3 linked regions of the Xenopus tropicalis genome follow. The protein of the gene in region 3 interacts with the protein of the main gene of each other region in a biochemical or structural test. Links are inferred from orthologs where the notes say so. Each region holds a gene or a part of one and is shown on either strand. Other genes may lie near its edges.

Evidence for each region. The genes of interacting proteins can lie anywhere in the genome.
Region 1: of the proteins of gsk3b (region 3) and klf5, one has a biochemical effect on the other in vitro, tested with the Homo sapiens proteins (2 studies listed by BioGRID). The link is inferred for Xenopus tropicalis from reciprocal best matches to the Homo sapiens genes GSK3B and KLF5.
Region 2: of the proteins of gsk3b (region 3) and rictor, one has a biochemical effect on the other in vitro, tested with the Homo sapiens proteins (2 studies listed by BioGRID). The link is inferred for Xenopus tropicalis from reciprocal best matches to the Homo sapiens genes GSK3B and RICTOR.

The regions. Positions count from the first base shown.
Region 1 is NC_030678.2:127,155,012-127,158,511, reverse strand, and holds part of klf5 (Krueppel-like factor 5), read left to right. Parts: coding exon 1-699; intron 700-3,323; coding exon 3,324-3,383; intron 3,384-3,500. UniProt on the Homo sapiens protein: Transcription factor that binds to GC box promoter elements. Activates the transcription of these genes.
Region 2 is NC_030677.2:197,070,334-197,073,833, reverse strand, and holds part of rictor (rapamycin-insensitive companion of mTOR), read right to left. Parts: intron 3,459-3,500; coding exon 3,320-3,458; intron 2,186-3,319; coding exon 2,111-2,185; 3' UTR 1-2,110. UniProt on the Homo sapiens protein: Component of the mechanistic target of rapamycin complex 2 (mTORC2), which transduces signals from growth factors to pathways involved in proliferation, cytoskeletal organization, lipogenesis and anabolic output.
Region 3 is NC_030678.2:1,904,337-1,907,836, reverse strand, and holds part of gsk3b (glycogen synthase kinase-3 beta), read right to left. Parts: intron 2,688-3,500; coding exon 2,483-2,687; intron 2,206-2,482; coding exon 2,107-2,205; intron 1,493-2,106; coding exon 1,425-1,492; 3' UTR 1-1,424. UniProt on the Homo sapiens protein: Constitutively active protein kinase that acts as a negative regulator in the hormonal control of glucose homeostasis, Wnt signaling and regulation of transcription factors and microtubules, by phosphorylating and inactivating glycogen synthase (GYS1 or GYS2), EIF2B, CTNNB1/beta-catenin, APC, AXIN1, DPYSL2/CRMP2, JUN, NFATC1/NFATC, MAPT/TAU and MACF1.

The DNA.
Region 1 (3,500 bases), about 130 Mb from region 3:
CTGATATCACTCACTTAAGAACAAGCCTGTATAAGAGCCAGAGGCCACCCGTGACCCATATCAAGACAGAGCCCACTTCAGTATTTAGCCACTCAAGTGATGCTGAACCCACACAGAGTCTTCCTGAATTCACCAGCATCTTCAGTTCCCACCAAAACGCAGATGTTAATAACATCTACATCAAACAAGAGCTCCCTTCACCAGAGCTTCCGCTCTCTGTCAATCCTCAGCAGGGCCAGTTATACCAGCTTTTAAGTTCGCCAGACATTGATATGTCTAACTCCACAAACCAACCCTCAGTTATGGACACTATTAATAGTGCTTCCATGGCCACAGACATGTCTGCCTTTAATACACTTTCTTCTCCAGTACAACAGACTGCAATGAAACAATTCCAGAGCATCCCTCAGTGCTCATATGGCATGCCTAGCCAATTTCTGCACCAGCAAGAAGGAACCTACTTTCCACCTTCTCCTCCTAGCTCTGAACCAGGCAGCCCAGATAGGCAAGCAGAGCTTCTCCAGAGTTTAAACCCTCCACCATCTTATGCAGCCACGATAGCATCCAAGATGGCCATTCACAATCCACCCTTACCTGCACAGGTGCAAATAACAGCCCCTGCTATACAATCTGTACGCTACAACCGTAGAAACAACCCAGATCTGGAGAAAAGGCGCATACATTATTGTGACTACCCTGGTAAGAACCTACATGTAATTGTTCAGGGGTTTATACAAGGTAACGGTCTACTGACTTAATCAAAAGCTTAAAGGAGAGCTAAAGCTTAACAAAGAATGTGTCTAGACATGCAATGCCTTATGTTTTGGGCTTCTGTACTAGCCCAGGGCCACTAGCCATAGCCCTTTAGCAATGAAGGTCTGTGCCTTTGAATATGCGCACATGCTCTGGGCTACTTTCAGCTACCTCAGCTTAGGGACATGTGCACAATAAATAATATATACACTATACACTACAATAATATAAAATCCACCATTCAAGGATTATTGGTAATTAATTCACATTACTCAACAGCAGAGAAACCAAGGTATTCTGAATTTAATCAGCTGTGTAGCATCACCAACTTTGACATATACAACTTTAACTTTCTGGTAGTGTTTTTTACTTGCTTAGCTTGCCAATACCAGCCCCATTGAGTACATGCAGTGCCACAGATACACAAATGATTAAGATGGGGAGCTCCCATGGACAACTTTTTAAGACCTGTCCTACAGCTGCTAAACTTTTGGGCTAATAAAGCAAGTTTGGTAAATAAACATGTCTAGCAGTATTCATTTCTAGGTTTTAGTTCTCCTTTACTTATAGGGTGCATATTTCTTGTTCATTAGATAGTTGGATATGAATGAGACCATGATATATTCTTTACACAATACATTCCTTCTCTGAATATTTGTATTTAAAAATATGAGCAGGTGCTGCAGTACTGTATGTTTTAGCAGAGACTGAGCATTAACAGTACTGGTACCCCTAGTGATTATAATGAAATGGATTTGTCCGACATGGAGAATAGTGAGAATTTTGCATAAAAACTGCAGAGATGGAACCTGTACAATAATAAACCCATCTGACCTGTGTGTATAGTTGTGCATGTTCCACCTGTATATGGACATGCGCATGCAAGAATCTGGGTTATATATGTCACTGTGGCGAAACTGTACTTTGACAGCACTTATTTAAAGTAAAATCTGTCAGGTTTATAGGGCTCCATTTTGTGTAAAGAACGTCATCACCAAGTCAGGTTACCTCTAACCTTGTTGAATTTAGAGCAGTTAGATGATTTAATAGGAATAACAAGATTTTTATAAGCATCCTGCTATTTTAACGTTAATGTTTAACTTGTGTCTTTAAATCTACAATGTGCTTTTGCTTTTCGCATTCTTTATCTAAAACCCCAGTCCTTTACAGTGCAACACTGGGCAAAGAGATTAAAGGAGATACTACTTCAATAAGTAATAGTTCCAGGACAAATATGGTTGTTCTGTATATGAAAAATAAACCGGGGTTATTTGTACGACATGTTTCAAACTGGATTAAGTTATATAGCATATATGAAAAGAAATGACTATATATTAACTAAGAAATAATTTTAACAAATGAGTTTCATATTTTGAAGCATTGTATAACATAGGAGACCTTTCTGTGTGGAGAACTTTCTATATGAAGTTTATGCACACTTGGATAAATGTTATCTCTGGGCCTTCTGTAGGCTCACACTGACTTTTGGTGCATACTTCCTGAGATATATACACATTTTCTAGTGAATTCTACATATTTTAAATGCTTCGCCATTATGTCAGTGGTCAGTCTGAGGTTGAACAGGTCGAAAACAACACAGATCATCCCTGCTCCCTATCCATTGAGGGTCACCAGCATAGTGCTGAATTTAGCATAGTGAAGCAAATTAGGAACTGACTCGGTCAGTAGTGCTTTATTTGCACCCTTATGCAGTCATCATGATTTAGATTCCAACCCTTATACATAAGGGATGTAAAAATGTAAAGGAAATGAAAGGTGTTTTCAGTGAGACTTGAGGATGCCAGCACTAATTGTGCATGAGTTAGGACAGCCTTTTAATGTGAAAGTTAATCATTAGGAACAGAAAGAAAATGATAAAAGTAGCAGAGAGTCCAAGCAATGCACAGAAGCAAATGTGTCACTTTCATGTTAGCAACAGCAAATGCCAAAGTAATAATAAACTGCGCTGTACTTATAATTCTGGAATCTCCCTAGGTATTTTTAGAATGCAAGAATGCAGATGGATATCTAAAGCTCTGAATAACTTTGATAAATAAGTCCGCTCAATAGGAATAAATATACTTGCTCTGGCATTTGAAAAACTACACCTGTTGCAACTTTGAGGAATTCTTTTTTTCTTTACACAGAAAACCCACAAGGAATTCAGATTCTTCATATGTAGTATTTTACTCTTGTTAAGGGCTATGGCACATGGCGAGATTTTAATCATTTTGTTCCCAGAGGTATATAGTAGCTAGCAAAATGGGGACAAGAAACTGAAAAATTGCCCCTACACTTCTTTGGAAATTGCACTGCGCAGTCAGGCTATTTTTGTTTGGAAAGTGATTGCACTATACCTGGCAATTGTTATAGAAGTGAATTGGGGGGGGGGGGCATTGCCTTAAAAATGCGGGGGCTGCTTTTGGCATCATAGCTGCGAGTATCCTGCAAAAGAATACATTAAATGCCTTAATGGTAGACAGAGTGTTAGCGATGTTCTCTGGGCTGTTGCTTCGTGAAATGTTCATTCACAATGATAACCACCATGCTTTTTTACTCTTCTATTGCAGGGTGCACAAAGGTGTATACAAAGTCATCCCATTTAAAAGCCCACCTGAGAACACATACTGGTATGTGCATTTTTTGTTCAATTTAATGGCTGTGTAAATATTATCAATAGAAGTCTCCTCTTTTTGAAGTTGGTATGTTTTTCAATCTAAAACCTCTCATTCATGGCTAATTTTGTC
Region 2 (3,500 bases), on a different chromosome or scaffold from region 3:
TTCAATACAATTAAGTAATGGCAGCTGTGGGAAATGCTACCATTTTTGCCAAAATATTGCAGATACGCTAGTTGGCTTCAATGGCAAATCAGACTCTCGCAAAAAGTACTGGGATCCAATCCAAAGCAATTCCTGGATTCAGCGCACCCCTAGTATGTGATAAACAGGCCCAGACTGGGGGTCAAAATAGCCCCTGGCATATCAAGTACACAGGGGCCCAACCAGCCCCCCACCAGCCCAATAAATAGTGACTATGGCACCTTACAGCAGCCCCTCTGGCATTTGCCAGACCCACAGATTGCCAGTCCAGGCCTGATACATGAATCTATTACACATTTAATAGAGTAGGAAAAAGGCTTACTGTGGAAAACATTAGCTACAATACAAGTTCCCCACTTATGGGAGTCAAAGATAAGTTTCTATAAATACAATAGCCAATTGCATTCAGGTTCCAGAAGGGAAGGAGAACATGACGAATAGTTTATATAGATTACTGATATAAAACACCATTAGGAAACCCTACTGCCAAAGTGCTTTAAATTCATTGTGCCTTGGCATTTACTCTTTTGTCTATACCCCACGGTAAGGACACTGTCCTTTATAAAAGTCCTAAGCGCAAGGCTCACTTGGCAACAGGACCAAGCTCCGCCCCATTTGCAGGTAATCGGTGCCCCTGTCTATTATGACTTCCAGTGAAGAAACTGGACAGCTGGGGATATGATTATATATATCATAAGAGAGATTAAGGGCATTCTGTAGTCCCTACAAGACTAAACCCCCTGCAGGTAAGTAGGACATATCTTGTGAGAGAGAGACTGACACCTTTCAGCTAAGAGCTCACTGAATATTTGCACAGGTTCCAACAGTCCAGCTGAATGATATATATACACATACACACACACATATATATGCTCAAGCTGGTCAACAGTTTAAAGGTTAATTACATACTCATGTAGTGAAGGTGATCATGCTGTATATATACATATTTGCATATCTGCGTCCTTTTGCTGCTAGAAAGCCCTCCATCGCCATCGCACCGCAACGCATTGAAGGCAGAGTTTCCGGCAGCAAACAAACATACAAAAAAAATCCCCCCCCCCCCCCCCCCCCCCCCTGAACATCTCCATCCGATTTTAGATAGATATGTTTTTAAAAAGCAAAAAAAAAGTGCCTGTGTTGAAGCCATCGTCCTCTCCTGTACATACAAACCAGTCTTGTGCAAATAATTAAAGAAAAATAAAAAGTACTTGCTTTAATAGGAAGAGGGAGGGAGGTTCGGGTAGCTCCGTATGTTCACAGCAATCCTAAATCATATTAATTTGTCTAATTAATAAATGTTGAGATTGTCTTTTATCATGGAATGTGCAAAATTACCTTCTAGCCTGATTGCCACGAGAGCCATGCCGTAGCACTGAAATGTATTATGGCTGCTGCAAGCTTCTAGACTGGCCACAAAATGGCACTGTGTCAGATATTGCCTAGTGATGAATAAGGAGAGCTACGTTAGTTTCCTTAACCAGAGAAGGATCAGTGTTGGTTCCAAAACAAGAGCACACAATGCATGACATGGCAATAAAATAGGTTTAGGGCGAGGAGTCCGAAAATGCAGTGGCAATGGAAAGGTTATAGGAAAGGGAGGAGGTGCCTTAGCCGGTGCTATAAAAACAAGAAGAAATACATTATTTCCAAGTAGTGTTTTGAAAATACATCACAGGGCCTTTGTCCCTGAGCTGCCTCTATACAACATGGCAAGTCTCCGCTGACTGGAAGGGACATGCAGGGAAGTACCCATCTGTCCGTAGAGAAGGCATTGCGTTGCTCGCCAAGAACAGCGCAGGAGTCGGCATTTCCTGTCCGAGAGATTTCCGCATGGTTATTTACAGGTGAGCGGTGCAGGCGTTTCAGTGCTTGGCTCTTGCATACATAGATACTGACTATTAGGGTCCCCCCAGAAATTGCCAGGGAGAAGCAGGGTGCGTCGGTGTTCGGGCTCTTCCTTCCCCTGGCAGGTACCAGTTTGCACCGGAGCAGGATAACAGGACGTGCTCCTCCGTCTGTCCGTCTGCTTAATCAGACAAAGTCATTTGCAGTCTTCCGAGACGACTGAAGGTCAGGATTCCGGTTCCGTACTTATTACCATGGGCTTTGGTGGCACCGCTAGGAGAGCCTCGGCCTCTTCATGCATCTGCATTAAACACACACCCAGTCAGTGCTCCCCCAGCATATTGTGGTGCCAGCACCAACTGCCATCACAGCACACAATCTGTCAACTTGGGTTTAAATTAACTTTTAGTATGATGTAGAGAGTGCTACTGAGACAATTTGCAGTTGGTCTTTTTTATGGTTTATGGTTGCAAGGGTCTGATTTACCCTAGAAACAAAGCAGTGATTGGAAGGAGAGATTGAAATATAAAAAGGCCAAGGCCTGAATAGAAAGAGAATTAATAAAAAGTAGCAATAAGATTGAAGCCCCACAGAGCAATAGTTTTTGGTTGCTGGGGTCAGTTACCCCCCTCTAAAGGCAGAAAAAGAAGACAAATAAACTATTAAAAAAAAAACAAAAAAACGAAGACCAACTGCAAAGTTGCTAGGAATAGGACATTCTATAACATACTAAAAGTTAACGTAAAGGTGGACCACCCTTTTAAATCTCAGATCTGTAGTAGTAACCCTAGGGTGCTGCTGTCGGAGCTTGTGGGAAATTGTGTGTCTGCAAGCAGAGAAGCTGCAGGCGTATGGGTGCAGGCACAGGGAGCGGATTTTGCTGCAGAAACCCATTATTGCACTGAAATCCACTCCGCGTGTCTGCACCCTGCCTGACGCAGTGCCTCTGACTGCAGGCACAAAAATGGGTGGAAGCCAGCCGATTGGCTGATTCCCTCTAATCACACTCCATTTTCACCCAACAGTGTAAAGCAACAGGGTTTATGGGTGCACAAAACTGATCCGCCTGACCCCCTGAATGCCTCACACAGAGCCCCTTACACATTGCACCCCAGCTACCTAAACAATTACTGCTCTACATGTTTTTCAACAATATGACTAATGTCATGTAAAGTGTGCTGCCAGGCACCGCATCAGCCTGTGTGTACTCACAGAGTGTTTCAGAGTGGAAATGTATACCTTTGCCTTTTGTGCGTATAGACTGATGCATTGCCTCTCAGTGCATTTAATACAGAGAGAGGTGGGTGGTTCCCATTGGCTAATGCTCCACCCGTGTTGTCACACAGTGTGACATTATACTAATTAGCCTCAGCTTCTGGCTGCCATGGTAATAAAGGGCAAAAGATCCCACTACAAGTCATCTGTACATACTCACAATCTGAAACTGAACATCTTGAAAGAGCTCCTGAATAAATCTCCGGGAAGGGAGTCGAAATGTGCAATGTGCTAATAAGTGGGAAACCTCAGAATAGAGGCAAATGTCATCAAATGCTTGAGGAAACTTCTCCTTAATCCTTAAAGACAAAAATAAAATACATATGAACACAACAAGGCGA
Region 3 (3,500 bases):
TGCCTACAGGGACAGTTATTATAGTTCTACATGGAACAAACCAACTGTGAGGCTGAGGCGCCCCCTGCTGGGCAGAATACAAATCTACTGGTATCGCCTTGTATTTATACAGCATCTGATTGGCTAGACTCGGATTTATACAGTACCTGATTGGATAGCGTGTTCTGGGCACTTCAGCAGCTGCTGGGGCAGCAGGGCAAACGAACAGAGACTGGGGGCAGGTTTACTGCCAGGGCTGAGACACTGTACAAAGGGAATAAGCAGGGACTGGTGCCCGTCAGTAGCCAGAGGAAAGGGTGCCAGCCGGAGTAGGGGTGCCAGTGAGTCTGTGTGGGTGAAGCCCCCATTTATCTGCACCATTCCAAGCGTCAGTAGCAGCAGGGGGGGCAGTCTGACATGCGGGGGGGGGTAGTTGTGGCTACATATGCCCGTGCCATACACAGGCCGGACTTGCCACTGACAAACACAGGAGGCCGGAGGCATCTGCCATCCTAATGCCCTTGGGCGGCACAGGGTGAGGTAACTTGCTCCTGTTATAACAATGTATGGCTCATGTGTTAACTCCTCGGCGCCAGCGTACAGTGAAAGGGTTAATCCTTCTACGTCTCACAATCACACCCCCCCCCTGGATTTGGCAAAAACAGAAAAAAAAAAACTGACCAATTAACGACAGACTGGGAAAGCCAATGAAATGTATCTTTTGGCGACCCCCCCCGACAGCGAGGGGAAAGGAATGGGGGGGCTGCGCGTGCCTCTGAGCCGGGGGTTCAAGGGGGGGGGGGCGCACGGATGCAGGCTGTACAGGCTTCCAACCCGCGCACGTAACGCAATAAGGCACTCTGAGAATCAAACTGGTGTGGGGGGGCCCGTGGGGGGCTGCTGCAAACTGATGGAACCTCAAGAGCTTTCATTCTATGTATTCCGTACAGCCAACCCGTCCCTGACTACCACCAACCCCGGTGATTACAGCAGAATCCTTAGGGGGGGGAAAGCAGATGGGGGTGTGTGGGAGGAGCTTAGAGCGCGGCGGTGGCCTATACCAGCGCAGGAGAAGGTAACCAGTCCGAGGGAGAGAGGAGAGGCAAATAAAACAAAAAACAAACTTCACCTCTCGGCTCTCGCAAGGAAAACTCCATCGGAGTGAGATTTACAGAGAAAAAATTAAAAAAAAAAAAAAAAAATTAAAAAAAAAATCTGTATTTATAGATATTTTACAAGGTTAAATAACAATAATAAAAAAAAAACTGAACCACTAAAAATGAACAGAAGGTGGCGCTTCCTTTACAGTTTCAGCTTTATCCTTGGTGGGTGTGGCCAGTGTTTGCGAGTCCCAGGGACAGGGTGGGTGGCGCCCTCTCTCTGTTTCCCAACCCCCTTTGCTACTTTTTGCCCGTTTTTCCCGTGAGCGGCGCATGCGTGGGGGCTCAGGAGGAATTGGAGGCCGACGCGGAGGCTGCGTTGGTGCTCGTACAGCGCTCCCCGGTGCTCGTCTCTGCAAGGGAGAGAGATGGAGAGTCACTTTGGGCAGAAATACAGGGCAACAGGATCACTGGCAGGGAACTGCAGGCCGGCAATCCTTATATCTGCCTGACTGGGGCACAGTATCCGCCTGACTGGGGCACAGTATCCGCCTGACTGGGGCACAGTATCCGCCTGACTGGGGCACAGTATCCGCCTGACTGGGGCACAATATACAGAAGCCTTTGGGCTGTTTATAGGGAAACGGGATCACTAGCAGGGAACTGCAGGCCGGTAAGCCTTATATCTGTCTGACTGGGGTAAAACTGCCCAAGGGAAAGCTCTATAGTCACTTTATTGTCCCCTGAGCAGCAATAATACCGGCTGGGGGCAGCACAGGCAGGAAACTGATAACATGGGCAGTAAGCCTAGGGCTTGGGGCAATAAGCAACATAGTTTATATGTAGGGAAACCACTAGGACAATAAACTTGCTGTGGTGCCCGACACACTGCCTCCAAGCATCACAGTGTGAGTATAACCCCATTGGTCAGGGCCTGTGTAGTGTAAGGGGGTACAGAACCCCCCCCCGGAATCCTTGGCCCCCCCATACCAGCATAGGGACGTGGGAGTTGCCCCTCTCTGCTCACCTGATGCCGATGTCGAGTTTGACGGCGTGGGCACGGAGGCCTGGTTCCGAGCATGGGCAGGGATGAGAATAGAAGAGAGGGAAGGATTGCTTGACAGCTCTGTAGTAAAGAAGAAGAAGAAGAGAAGCTGCCTCAGTCTCGGCACTGGCCGGGGCACCCACAGACTGTGGGGCAGATTTATTATAAGGTGTAACATACATCCCCGGTGTTGCTGCCCATAGCAACCAATCAGCAATTACATTTGAACCTACGCGTTAGAAAATAAAAGCAAAGATCTGATTGGGCGCTATCGGGAACATCACCAGGGACGAGTCTATACATTAACCCCCGACTCCCAGCAGCCCTTTCCCTATTGGGCGGAAGGGAGACGCGTTACCTTGAGTGGTAAAGTTGAAGAGAGCAGGGAATTCGCGCCCGTTGGGCAGTTTCAGATTGGGGTCCCGCAGTTCGTCGAAGAAGGAGTGGGCGCAGGCATCCAATGGGGTGAGGCGGGCAGTGGGCGTGTACTCCAGCAGCCGACTGCACAGGGCGATGGCCTCGGGAGGGGTGCGCGCCCGGAACACCTGCAAAAAGACATAACCCTTTAAAGATAAAAAAAAAAAATACAGATCTGACTGAGTGCTGGGATCGTATCCCTGATCGGGGGTGGAGCAGATGGGATGGAGGCGGAGCCTTCTGCACCTACACTAACTGCCCCTGTAACAGTGCCCCCTGCTGGCCAACAATTTCCCCATCAATCCCCACTGACAGTTTGGTTTAGAGGGCCCCTCCCTCTGTCTGTCAATCATAAAGTGCTGGAGAAAACACAGCAGCCAATCCCAAGCAGTGGGAGGGGCCTACAGAGCATAATGGGGAGAGCCAACCCATCCCTTTAATGAAATCTATTCACAGTCCTACAATCTGCCCCAAAACGTGTCCCACCATCATAAAAAGTGCTCTTATCTGCCCCAGTCCTACCCCAACAGCCATACTATGATCTCTTCCCTATATCTGCCCCAGTCCTACCCCAACAGCCATACTGTGATCTCTTCCCTATATCTGCCCCAGTCCTACCCCAACAGCCATACTGTGATCTCTTCCCTATATCTGCCCCAGTCCTACCCCAACAGCCATACTGTGATCTCTTCCCTATATCTGCCCCAGTCCTACCCCAACAGCCATACTGTGATCTCTTCCCTATATCTGCCCCAGTCCTACCCCAACAGCCATACTGTGATCTCTTCCCTATATCTGCCCCAGTCCTACCCAACAGCCATACTGTGATCTCTTCCCTATATCTGCCCCAGTCCTACCCCAACAGCCATACTGTGATCTCTTCCCTATATCTGCCCCAGTCCTACCCCAACAGCCATACTATGATCTCTTCCCTATATCTGCCCCAGTCCTACCCCAAC